Callithrix jacchus: one gene and its partners. The protein of the gene in region 1 purifies or fractionates together with the protein of each later gene. This does not show direct contact. Links are inferred from orthologs where the notes say so. Each region holds a gene or a part of one and is shown on either strand. Other genes may lie near its edges. The genes, in order: PIAS4, IKBKG and SMAD4.

Region 1 (4,394 bases):
GAGGAAACCGAGGCTCACAGAGGGAAGCAGCTGGCCCACAGCCTCCCTAGCACAAGCACGGAGGTGGCATCGGCCCCTGGGCCCCCAAGAGTGCTCCCGTCCGAGGCCCAGGGGACCCTCGCTCACCAGCACACTGGCTACGGGGACCTGCGTGGTCTGCTGGGCCTGAGTCAGCGAGGCTTTGCAAACAAAAATGCCTCATCCCTCTCGGCCTGACTTCCTACCTCATGCAGAAAACAAAAGGGCTTGCGGACAAGATGTTTCTTCTGGAAGCTGCCCAGGCCTTAGCAAGGAGAGGCGATGTCATGTGGACACTTCGCACTGGCAGCCCGGCCGAAGGCAGGTGGGCTTGGGAACCCGCTGACGTCCTGGCACCCCAGGAGCCCCTGCCCTGCCCAGGCTGGACAGTGGAGCTGCAGCTCCTGCTTTCCGGAGCACACCCCTTAGGCAGCCATATGTTCACGATTCAGATTTCCCGGCAGCTGCCACCTCGGAGGAGCCTGCCCTGGACACTGGAGGGGGGCAGGAGGACACGAATTCAGGAAGAAGCACCCAATGCCCCGAGATCACTTCCTGCCCTGGCTTCATCCTGACCCACCTGCCCTCAAAGCTGTGTTTATAAACAGCGCCAGGCCCAGGCCCTTCCGAGTTTCAACTCCAGGCTTGCCGGGAAGCCTCGTGGGGAGACAGCAGCCCAGAGACAGCAGCTGCGCTGAACCTTTCCTCCAGCACGGGGCCCTCGGAGCACCGGGGAAGCTCAGGAAGGCGCCCCTCTCCAGGAGAACAGAGATGTGTGTTGTGCTAAACGCTGTGGACTATTTCACGACACCCCTGCCCCAAAACCCGCCTCCAGACCCCAAGCAGAGGGTCTCAGATTTCAAAGTTCATTAACAAGCCCTCACCATTCAACCCTCCGAGCAGTCTGTGATGCACCCCAAAAGCAGAATCTGCAGCCATGAGTATGACAGGCTGGGGAAAGCCCCTGTAAAAAAGGGGATGTTTCGATGACCCTTAAGGCATTTGGAGGGATAGAAACGGACTCAAGGAGAAAGGCGGCCCCCCAAGGTCCCACCCCCTTGAATGGAGGCTCGCAATTTAGAGAGTCTGAAAGAAGGGGCAAACTTGATTTAACTGGGGGGCGGGGGTGGGTACCAGCCACCAAAGGGTCAAGGAAAAGTTCGTCAGATCGTATTTCAAGGCCTGGATGGTACGAAAGAGTGCAGACCCTGCCCTCAGCCAGGGTGGGGGTGGGGTCCAGGGTCACAGCTCCAAGTTGCGAGGTCTCCATGGAACTTCAAGCCCAGAGCCTGCCGCCTTGGGGTTACAGAGTTCAGGCCTCCACATCTCCAGGGTGTCTCCACTCTGCAAAACTCTAGGGAGCGGCAGAAGTGCGTGCGGAGTGAAGGCTTGGAAGGGTAAGAGGATTGGATGCTATCATCACAGAACCTTGAGGGCTGTGTTTTCAGATCCCAGCGGGTGATGAGGGAAGAAAATACGTACAGGTCAGGACCCCGGCGGGGAAGACCTAAAGTGGGGTGAGGGAGGGAGAGATCCCCTAACCTCCCTGGAAGCAGTGGCCTTGACGACACTTCTGAAGATTTTAGACGATCCTCAGCTCTAGGTAGCCACCTACAAGAAGGTACATCCCCAGGAACGGGGATACTCTGAGCTCCATCTCAGGACGATTAAAAGGTGTTCCAAGCTAGAAGGAGACGGCACCTACCGGACATGGGACCTGGACAGGGCCCAGACCGTGACAGAGAAGCAGCCGAAGTTATTCTAAAGAGGCCGGCCTCGGACCCAGTGGGGACCCTCCAAAGATCAAAATAAAGAGTATAAGCAGAAAGACAAGGAACCTCAGAAACCAAAGCTGGGGTGCAGACAGGTGCTGGGGGCTGTGCAGGGAGAAAGGGAGTCTGATCTTCGCAGCAGACTCGCTCAAGAGTAGGAAACAGAAGCGGCTAACTCTGGAGACAGTATCTGAGGCTGCACAGGTGAGGCTTAGAACCACGAGAAGCAAAACCAGTAACCTTAGATTCTGCCCCGCGGGGAACGACACAGGTCCAGGATGTCAGACTTGTTTTTAAAAAGGGGCGAGCAAGGAAGGTTTCTAACCAAGACAAGCGTTTGGGACTCCATCCCATGGCGAGGGTAAAGAGCCCAGCGTTCCCCCAGCGTCCACTCCGGTGTCTGAGAAACCGTGTCGGGAAGGGGGCGGGGTCCTGGGACCAATGCAGCAGCTGAAGACCGGCTCCAGCCCCCAAGAGGACGTGCTGTGTCTTGGGGTGGTCTCAGGGCCCTGATTTCTCCACCTGGACGGCGGTAGGACGCTATCCGGGACTGAGGGGACCCTTCGGAGCAGAGGACTCGCGAACCCCAGCCTGGCCTGTTGGGCGGGGACAAGACCCAGACACCAGTCCTGGGAGCCCTCCGGGCCGGTAAGCGCAGACACTCCTCCCGACACAAACCGGACAAATACCAGGGACTACGGCTCGGAAGCAAGAGGGCAACGAGAAGCTCAACCCATCCCGCAGCCCGGGGGCACGCTGCCTGAACCGGGAGGCGCGGCCCTGGCCCGGCGCTTGGGGACCCGGACCCTAAAGGCTCCGGCTGGGTGGGGGAACCCTGCCTGAAGCTGGGGGAGCGACCCCTGGCGCGAAGACCCGGGTGAGGCAGGAGGGCCCCGCCCCCGGCCTCCCCGCCCCCCCGCCCTCACCCTGAGCCCTGGGGTCGGGGTCTGGGGGCCGGGACGGCGAGCCGCGGGCGGACCGCGCTGTGGGGCCCCGGACGGAAGGCGCAGACCTGGACCCGCGGCCCGGCCCCCGCCCTTTCGCCCACTTGCCCCGGCCGGCGCCGCCGCCGCTCACTCACTTTGGCCTCCACCAGCTCCGCCGCCATCTTGGCCACCAGCGTCCCCCGCGCCGGGAGCCCCCAGCCGTCGCGTCACGTGACCTCCCACCACTCGCGGGCGGGGCCGCCGCCCGGGCCAATTAGCACCCGCGCGCGCTCCTCCCGCCGCCGGCGGGCGCTGCTGCGTCCTGCGCAGGCGCGCGCGGCCGCCGCCCGGGCCTAGGGCCAATCAGGTCCGCCCTACACCAGCCCCTCCCTCCTTCCCTCGTCTTCTCTAGCTCGCGGCGACCACGCCCACCCCTGGCGGCGTCTGACTCCTTAAAGGGGTACGAGCTCTGCACAGGTGGGGACGGGTGTGGGTCGCCTCGAAGGAGGGAAGGAGGGAGGGAAGGAAGGAAGGAGGGAGGGGGGCAGTGGCAGCGACCACAATGCGGCCAGGTGACGCGGCTTCTTCCGCCAGGTGCGTATCCAGACTCCCGGCGGCGTCAGGGAGGAGACGGTTGCTCCGCCGCAACGACCGCCAGTGCGTGCAGTGCGACGCCTTGCAGCGCACCGCGGTGCACGCTCCACGGGCCCCGACGCCCCGCGCGCTGCACATCCGGGTCCTGGCGTGCAGATGGGGCGTGGGCTCGGCACCCTGCTGGCTGGCGCTAGGCGGAGAAAAGCGGGACCGCGGCTCCCAAATGCCGCGGAGCTCGTGCAGCTCTCACCTCTTTGCAGGCGCCCTCTCCCATCCTGCTTCCCACCCTTGGGAAACCCTGGAATCCGCACCAGCTGCAGATTCCAAAGCGCTCCTTGGCTCCCTAGTGCCCGTAGAATTTAAGTTCAGACTTCAGTAATCAACTATTTTAGTGCAGTTTATTTTTTATTTTAGTTTTTGTAGAGACGGGATCTCATTATGTTGTCCAGGCTGATCTCGAACGTCTGGGTTTAAATGATCCTCCTGCCTGGGCCTCACAAAGTGCTGGGATCACAGGCGGGAGTCACCACACCTGGCGAGTCCAATACTTTTAATATTAAAAAAAAAAAAAAAAATCAGGCTGGGCGCGGTGGCTCAAGCCTGTAATCCCAGCACTGTGGGAGGCCGAGGCGGGTGGATCACGAGGTCGAGAGATCGAGACCAACCTGGTCAACATGGTGAAACCCCGTCTCTACTAAAAATGCAAAAAATTAGCCGGGCATGGTGGCGCGTGCCTGTAATCCCTGATACTCAGGAGGCTGAGGCGGGAGAATTGCCTGAACCCAGGAGGCGGAGGTTGCGGTGAGCCGAGATCGCGCCATTGCACTCCAGCCTGGGTAACAAGAGCAAAACTCCGTCTCAAAAAAAAAAGGCAAAAAAGTTCATGATGGATGAAATAATAAATTTTTTTCTTTTTTTGCAGAGACAGTTGTCACCATGTAGCTCTTGTCGCCCAGGCTGGAGTGCAATGGTGTCTTCTCAGCTTACTGCAACCTCTACCTCCCAGGTTCAAGCAATTCTTCTGCCTCAGCCTCCCGAGTAGTTGGGAGTACAGGTGCCCACCACCACGCCTAGCTAATTTTTG
Region 2 (4,393 bases), on another chromosome or scaffold:
TGAGGCAGAGGTTTCGCCATGAGCCAAGATTTCACCATTCCACTCCAGTCTGGGTGACAAGCGCAGAACTCCAGTTCAAAAAAAAAAGTATCTTATAACCTTGAGCAAGAGCTCTCTCAAAACTAATGAGCTCTTCCTCATCACGCGTCCCTGAGTGCTGGATGAGCTTAGTGGTTCTTTGTTCACGTACAACAATGCAGTGTCACACTTTGCAAACCTGCTCCTTGACACCTTTGTACTTCTGATCAGAACTTAGAAAAGGAATGAGGAGGCAGCCGAGGGAGAAGTAAGGAAGGGCCACCCCAAGCACTGTCCTCTGACTCCCCATATGCCTGAGACCCAGGAGAGGTACCCAGGTGGAGCCCACAGTGGATTGGGCTTGCCTTCAGCCCCAGCCTAGTCCTCTCAGAAGAGCCATACCTGGCCAGGCCCTGTGACTCACAGCTGTAGTCCCAACACTTTGGGAGACCAAGGCGGGCAATCACCTGAGGTCAAGAGTTTGAGACTAGCTTAGTCAGCATGGCAAAACCCTGTCTCTACTAAAAATACAAAAATTAGCCAGGCATGGTGGCGCCTGCCTGTAATCCCAGCTACTCAGAAAGGTGAGGCAGGAGAATTGCTTGAACCTGGGAGGCAGAGGTTGCAGTGATCCAGCCTGCGCAACAGAATGAATGAGATTCCATGTCAAAAAAAATTAAAAGAGCCATACCTGCATCAGTCACAAACCTTACCACCTAGGACTCTGACCATTAAGCCCTTAGTGCAAGAAGCAGACTAGAGGAGAAGGTAACTGAGGATGCTTTCTCCTTTCCCTGTCTCCACCCCATGCTGTCACAAGGACACTACAACACAGCAGCCCAGGCCACAATGATGGCTTATGACTCCAGGCCTTCAGCTCTCATTAGACAACCTCACTGAGCATCCAAACTTGTTGTGTGACTTGGAGCAAGTGTTTTCCTTTCTCTGACTGTCAGCATTTCATGTAGCAAATGACAGCTTTTGAAACAAGTGCCCAGGGTCCTTAGGGTTTTCCAAGCTGATTGTGTCATTTCACTTTCTTCACTTGTGGCCAGCTTGGTATTGGGCAACTTTGTTTCATTGAAATCAGTAGGGTTCCCCTTTGCTCTCCTCTGCTCTGACGGTGCCAGCTCCAGCACTGTGGGTAGAGGACAAGGGGTCCTCTCTCTGAAGGGCCTTGTGGTTGGTTTCTTCCTCTTCCTGCTGCGGGTGGGGGTGGCGTGCTCAGGCAGCACCTGGAGCAGCTCCCACTCCCAGGCTCCTTCCGTGCCCGATGCCTCACTCGATGCACTTGGGGGCACCCAATCCTAGAATCTGTTGCTCCAGGAAAATAGCCCATTTTCCATTCATTTAGAAGAGAGTGATCGGGCACTTCTGGGCCACAGTAGCCAGTCCCTGCCCTCCTCATGGGACCTATGTGCTGTGGTGGCCAGGGAACCACAGCAAGTAAGCAGAAGATACATGTGGGCCCTGTGTTCCCAGCCCCCCAGAGCGCATAGATCCCACAAGGAGGGCCTGGAGAGCAAGCCTGCCGGGGCAGGCTGAGGAGCACCCACACAAAAGGAAGAGCAAATGCCTGAAGCCCTGAGTTGGGAACTAGCTTGGCGTGACCTAGAAACTGCAAGCAGGCAAGTGGCTGGCAGACCCACAGCCAGGGAAGCGGGACACCCTGGGGCAGGCTGTACCCACGTGGCCTTCATCTGTCCCTTCCTCCTCCTGGCCAGCTTACGCAACACTTGCGCACACACCCAGCTTCCTTCCTGGGGGCCCTGATGACGGCTCAGAGTTACCAAGTGGGCCACTTCCCACCTTCTCAGGACTCCCACCCCTACCAGGGAGTGAGGGGAAGAGACTGGGACTGAGAGTCTACGGGTTCCTCACCTGTCTGGGCCTCAGATTCCCCACCTGGATCACAAGGGCCATGGGCTTGCTGGGCGTTCAGCGGCCCCCACCCCTCCCTTTCCTCGGAACATTTCTGGGCTGACTTCTCCGTTGGTCCGATAAGATTCTTGCTGTGTCATGATGATGTTGGCACTCTCCCAAAGACCCGGTGACTCATGAGCCCCTGGGTTTAGGAGGGAGGCCCTTTCGTTGGTTTTTCAACTGAGCTAACTCAGCAGCCCCCAGGTTCTCGGGCTCCACCCAGGGAGTCTGGGCAGGTCCTTGACCCTAGCGACCCTTGGGGATGGGGTGGCCTACCCCTGCTGGCTCTCCAGCAGGCATCGCCCTCTACCATGAAACCCTCACGCCAAGACGAGCTGTAGCGATTTGGGTTTATAAAACAGGTCGTGGCCTAGGTCCCTTTGCCCTGGCCGAGCCAGACATTGGTGGCTGGAGATCTTAATCGTGTCCTGCTTCTACTAAGTCACCCTGTGTCCTCAAGAAGGTCCCTCCCCTGCTGTGGTCCTCAGGAAAGAGGAGGGCGTGGGGAAAATGAGAAGCTCCCAGCTGCTTCTCACTAAGGATCCCTTGAATTGCCCCCACCCACATGGCAGGAGTAGACTCTTGACTAAGCTGTCAGGTTTTCCCATGTCTTCCTGTACTTGTCCCTCCAGAAAGTCCCACTAGAGCGCTGCAGCCAGCTGGGAGGGCAGGGCTAGCCCTGAGCCCTGAGGAGAGCAGCTCAGTCTGGCTCTGCTCGGCTCAGCTCAGCTTAGCTCCTCGTCACCATGGGAAAGAGCTGCCTGGCCTTCCCCCACCCACGCCATCCTCTGTCTTACCTCGACTCACTTCTCTCAGGTGACTCGGATCCCAGCAGACAGTCGGTTGCAGGGGCTGAGCTGGAACAAGGCGAACAGGTTCAATCTCCAGTTAATCCCAAAGGGAGCAGCAGGAACAAACAGCCTGGAGCGTGGGGCCGCTGTGACTCAGCAGACCAGTCCCCTGCCAACAGTACCTTCCTGTAGTCTGTCCCAATGCCTCCTGATCTACCAGAATTTGGTCATGAGCAAACATGACCTGCTTTGAGTGAGGCTTAGAGGTATTTGCAGGCTGTGGTTATTACCGTTTCATTCAGGGACAAGTTAGTTCCCAGCGAGCTGGCCCTTTCTGTGTGCGGGGACAACCCTGAGTTGATGTGCCATGGCCAGTGTTCCCCTCCCCAGTCTGATGGCAGGGTGCTGTGAGGAGCAGAGTGGAGGAACTCCTACCCCAGGGTGAGGGGTCGTCTGAGGTGGACTTGGAAGGATGCAGAAGCAAGAGGTCCTTGTGGCTTCAGGGAGCAGCAAGTTGGATGCTAGGAGGGCTGCACTGGGCTTCATGTCGGGTAGTGATGGGTGAGAAGGTCTCATGGGTGGTCCAAGACCAGCTGGTGGCAGGGCTGGAACTTTATTTTCAAGACGGTCACTGCAGCATCTGGGGGGCAAAGAGACCATTTATAAAACTTTCATGTGGCAGTTACAGGAGAGCCCCACTCCAGAGTGCTCAAGAGATAAATGGCAGGTGGCTAGGAGCCCCCCGATACCAACACAGGCAACCCTGGTTTGGGAACAGCCCACTGTGGGGATGCTGAGGTCCCAGTGCAGCCTGGAGATGACCCACAGACACTTGTAACTGGGCCGGGAAGAAACTCAGGAGCAGTCTGCCTGCAGCTCCCACCTGAAGCCCTGCACCGAGCTCACCCAAGGAGGGGCAGAAGCAGAGCACACAAGGGATGCACACCATAGCAATTTCCCACCTGGAAGCCCCCGGTGGCTTCCTAACTGCCTGTTTCATGGGGGCATGTGTCCTGGTGGCATGGCCTCCATTCTATAATGGTTCATAGAAACGGACCCATCCATGATTGCAGTGTCTGATCGCTTTGAAGAGCATGTCTTTTGTTTTCATCTGTGTGTGTGAGATGGAGTCTCGCTCTGTCACCCAGGCTGGAGTGCAATGGCGTGGTCTTGGCTCACCACAACCTCTGCCTCCCAGGTTCAAGTGATTCTCCTGCCTCAGCCTCCCGAGTAGCTGGGACTACAGGCATGCACCACCATGCCCAGCTTATTTTTTGTATTTTTAGTAGAAACAGCGTTTTACCAGGTTGGCCAGGATTGTTTTGATCTCTTGACGTCGTGATCCACCTGCCCTGGTCTTCCAAAGTGCTGGGATTACAGGCGTGAGCTACAATGCCTAGACTGTCTATTACTTTTTATCATGTTTTACTGAAATATATGTCACGCCCAGGTGCAGTGGCTCACACCTATAATCCCAGCCCTTTGGGAGGCCAAGGCAGGCAGATCACCTGAAGTCAGGAGTTTGAGACCAGCCTGGCTAACCCATCTGGGGGAAACCCATCTCTACTAAAAATACAATAATTACTCAGGCTCTGTATCAGATGCCTGGAGTCCCAGCTACTCAGGAGGCTAAGGCAGGAGAATTGCTTGAACCCAGGAGG
Region 3 (4,286 bases), on another chromosome or scaffold:
TATAAATCGTTCTACTATAAGGACACATGCACATGCATGTTCATTGCAGCACTGTTTACAATAGCAAAGACCTGGAACCAACCCAAATGCCCATCGATGATAGACTGGATTGGGAAAATCTGGCACATATACACCATGGAATATTATGCAGCAATCAAAAATGATGAGTTCGTGTCATTTGTAGGGACATGGATGAATCTGGAGAACATCATTCTCAGCAAACTGACACAAGAACAGAAAATGAAATAACGCATGTTCTCACTCATAGGTGGGTGACGAAAAATGAGAACACATGGACACAGGGAAGGGAGTACTAAACACTGGGGTCTATTGGGGCAATAGGGAAGGGACGGGGGCGGGGCAGCTGGGGAGGGATAGCCTGGGGAGAAATGCCAAATGTGGGTGAAGGGGAGGAAGGCAGCAAAACACACTGCCATGTGTGTACCTATGCAATTGTCTTGCATGTTCTGCACATGTACCCCAAAACCTAAAATGCAATAAAAAAAAAAAAGAAAATGAAGCACAAGTTTTCTAAAATAAGATTTGCTGCCTCCTAGTATAGGCAGAATTGCTTCAAGCAGCAAAACTATCATAAAAAGTCAATCATCCACATAAAACTTATTCCAAAATATTTCAAAGTGAAATATTTCTCAGCACAAATTTTCATTAAGTCTGAAAAACAGATTTGCAATTTGTTTTTTTCTAAACTCAAGATTTACACTGAAGGCACTGACCTAAACAGAGCCATACACCCCCACTTCAAAAATAAAAAACCCAAGATGCCATACTTTTTAAAAACTCACCCGAAAACCTGGAAAGCAAGGAAAAAGCCACTTCTATTAATAAAGTTAAATATTGTAACAATTTTATCTAAAGAAGCTTTTGGTTTTAATTCCAACAACTTAAGCCTACATAATTCATCACCATCTTTAGATCTAAAGCTACTCCAAATTATAAATGCTTGGCCTATCTCTATTACATTTGTTCTTTAAGGAACCCATTTAAGTATACAAAATCATGACAGCATTATGGAAGAAACATTAATTTTAAAAATCCGTGTTTTTAAATGTTAATCATTTACAGTTTAGAATGTTATCTACTAATCACATCAGAACTTTCCAATATAGACAGAATAAGTCCTCAGCATAAAAAAAAAGTTGCACTTTAGAATTTCCTATATTTCAACTAAAAAATATATATCTAGTCTCGGCAGAGTATGGCAAAGTAATTTATGAAATCCACCATAAAAATTATTCAAATGCCATGTTCTAAACCTAATTACAACATTATGCATTTCATTTTTTTGAGACTCTAATAAATGTTTTTTGCCAGCAAAAAGTAGTGAATCTAATTCTTAAATACCCGAGTAACCAAGCTGCTACTAAGACTAAAAGGATTCTAATTCCGACAAAAGTCAAAAGGTTATTAACAAAAATTAGCTAAGATTGTATGTCTGCAGAAAGTCAACTCAGTCTAATTCCCTTATTATCTTGTTATATTTATTATTCCTAAGTAACTGGCAATTTCACCTTAAACTACGGTGCAAAAACTAAATGCATTAAGAAAGTAATTTGGAAATAAATGTGTGTGTGAGTGTGTGTGTGTGTGTGTGTGCGCGCGCGCGCTTTATTAAAAACAAATGTACTTAGGTTTTTGAGGGAAACAGCTATTAATATTCAGCAGGGCTTTGTAAAACCTCTGCACCAGCCAATAAACCTTTCAGGTTAACTAAACATACTCGTGTCTTTGAAAATCTAGTTTGAGAGATCCTAACAACAGTTTGGGGCAAGTGATGGAGCCACCGCCCTCCACCCTACACCCATTTCACTCTCAGTACACGTAGTGCTAACAGTAAGATCAACTGTGCCTTTTATTAGGGAGCATGTTATATAGGGGGAAGAAGGGGTTCAGTTAGGTGCTAAGAATGTGTCCGGCATACCACCGTCACTCTCAGTACTCAAAAACTAAACATATCAAAGACAGAAGCGTAAACTGGCATTGACACGACTAGGAAGAGAAAGTAAAGGACAAAGAGAAAACAGAAATTGGCTGGAGAAAATAAATTAAGACAAACAATTTACAACTTTCATTTAGACCGTAAGGCAACACACTCCAGCCGACCCAACGCGCTCAGCCCGGGCGACCAAGAAACTACTCCAGAACAACAAAGAGGAGCGGCGGCCGCGGCAGGAGTCCCGTCCGAGTTTAACTTGATTCTCGCACGAGCTGCTAGCGGAGCTGGGAGCTGGAGGGACGCGAGGCACCGCTACCCTGCATTCACCCAGCCCGCCCGGGCCGGCTCGTCAGGTAGCCACGGTCGCCCTCCCAGCGGATCCGCGCGCTCCCCGCCGCCGCCGGGAGCCCGCCCCGGGGCGGAGAAGCCGCGGGCGGGGTGCGCGGGCCAGGCCGGGGGAAGGGGAGGGGACATGGCGCGGTTACCTGGGCTCGGGCGGTGGCGAGGGGAGTCCGCTCTCCCGCCGCTGCTGGTCCGCGGACGCTCCGGGCCCGTCGCTTTCGCCCGCGGCCCGGAGAGCTCCTCGGCCCCCGCCCCGAGGCTTCCCGGCCAGGCCGCCTCTCCTCAGCGCTGCGCCGCTGCCCGCGCCGACCGGACCGCCTCGAGCTCCCGGGCAGCCCCGCGGCGGGGGGCCTCTCTCGCGAGGCACCCGGCTTCCCTCACCCGCTCCCACCCGCTGGGCGACTGCGGAGCCGAGGGGAGGGCGAGAAAGGCCTCCCGTTGAGAGCAGGAGGGCGCGAACGCAGGCTCCGCCACCCGAGCCGCTCCGTTACCGCAGCGGCGACGACGAGCAGGGCCGTGTTGTTGCTGCCAACTTGTCGAGAGAACACTGAGCATGCGCGCGCGGGGACCACATCCGGGTAATTTCAGGGTTTGGCCCTTTTCCCCCGCAGCTTTCCTTTCTCCCGGCTGCCCCCGCCTTCCGTCCCCCGCCCCCTGTGAAGGGGAGGGTCGCTCTGCGCAGGCGCCTGCCGGGCAGCGCCAGCCGGCGGGAGGCTCAGAGTCCCGGCCTCGGCCTGGGCCTGGGCCTGGGCCGCGATGCGGGCGGAGGGCGAAGGCCTGCTTGAGGGAGTGGTCGCCAGGGACACTGGCATCTCTTTGCAAAAAAGTACCCAAGCTGCGCAGGAGAGCTCGGCGTTGAGTGGGCGTCCAGTAAGTGTTTATAAACAGTGATTAGCCCGGCCTTTGTTGGTTTTTTGTTTTGTTTGGTGTTGAGGACCTGCGTAGGCACAAAAATTGGCCTTCAAGAGCCAGTCTACAGCTCGGAGGAGAACGTGGCTAGGTTGTAGCAGTTCACTTCGGTAAGAAACAGACGCTGGCCGCACCTTCCCTCTCCGGCAGCCCCGAATCACGAGCCCCAGAGGTGTTTAAACTCGAGAGACGCACAGGACAGTCAAGGAATCCCTTACTGAAGAGCCTTGCCAGGCGTTCCAAGTGTGGGTGGTTTTGTTGGAGGAGATACAGAGCACTCTCGGAGCTGGAGGGGAACTTCGACTCCTACTACACACCTATTAACTAGGTTATCTGTTTGTTCGGTGGGGAAAGGCATAGGCTCTGCTTTTGGCTTTATATTTCTTTTATTTCATTTTTTACAAGACGCATGCATTTCTTTTTTTAATTTAAAACGCATTAATGATATATTTTCACCAAGCAGGAACTACTTTGGGACTAGTTTTAGTCCCTCCAAAACTAATGATGAGCCAGTTCTAAAGTCATTTCTTAGGTCACGTAGCCCAGAACTCTCTACACCCACCGCATGCCTTCGCCACATAGATCCTCTGTGCCTCATTCTGTCCTCCACATCCTGGGCCATTTCCCCCCCACTTTTTTTTTTCTTTTAATGCCAGAAAGCCCCTAAAGCTTCAAACTGGTGTTCTCTTACCACTGGGGTTTATGAAGACCAGTTTTAAGGGATTTCATTTCCATATCTTCCGTTGCTATATGTTCTGTTTTCTAAAATTGCCCAGCTTGAGAAGGGAGCTAAGGACACAGCACCTGTTTTCAAAACTACCCTTCTCCCTCCCACCTTACAAAAGAAAGTCAGAATTCTTACTCATTATTAAGGTACACTGGGTCAATGCAGAACCTCCCCAGCAATCCAAAAGGGGCAATTCAAATATCGGTATCTATGCTGAGAAAGTAAATGACCTTAGGTGAAGGGTATTAAATTATTTTGCAAGTCGGATAGTTTTCCAATCTTTTCTGTCAACAAAACTGAAAGTAGATCTGTCAGCTAATAGATTACTAAACATGATTTAATAATAGTTCAATA

Evidence for each region.
Region 2: the proteins of PIAS4 (region 1) and IKBKG purify together in Homo sapiens (affinity purification with western blotting; 5 studies listed by BioGRID, with this or other methods). This does not show direct contact. The link is inferred for Callithrix jacchus from reciprocal best matches to the Homo sapiens genes PIAS4 and IKBKG.
Region 3: the proteins of PIAS4 (region 1) and SMAD4 purify together in Homo sapiens (affinity purification with western blotting, with the first as the bait; 3 studies listed by BioGRID). This does not show direct contact. The link is inferred for Callithrix jacchus from reciprocal best matches to the Homo sapiens genes PIAS4 and SMAD4.

Annotation. Positions count from the first base shown.
Region 1 is NC_133523.1:3,761,977-3,766,370, reverse strand, and holds the start of PIAS4 (E3 SUMO-protein ligase PIAS4), read right to left. Parts: upstream 2,924-4,394; 5' UTR 2,899-2,923; coding exon 2,872-2,898; intron 515-2,871; exon of another isoform or gene 225-514; intron 1-224.
Region 2 is NC_133524.1:150,333,530-150,337,922, reverse strand, and holds the start of IKBKG (NF-kappa-B essential modulator), read right to left. Parts: upstream 2,838-4,393; 5' UTR 2,739-2,837; intron 1-2,738. UniProt on the Homo sapiens protein: Regulatory subunit of the IKK core complex which phosphorylates inhibitors of NF-kappa-B thus leading to the dissociation of the inhibitor/NF-kappa-B complex and ultimately the degradation of the inhibitor.
Region 3 is NC_133514.1:94,257,108-94,261,393, reverse strand, and holds the start of SMAD4 (mothers against decapentaplegic homolog 4), read right to left. Parts: upstream 2,846-4,286; 5' UTR 2,440-2,845; intron 1-2,439. UniProt on the Homo sapiens protein: In muscle physiology, plays a central role in the balance between atrophy and hypertrophy. When recruited by MSTN, promotes atrophy response via phosphorylated SMAD2/4.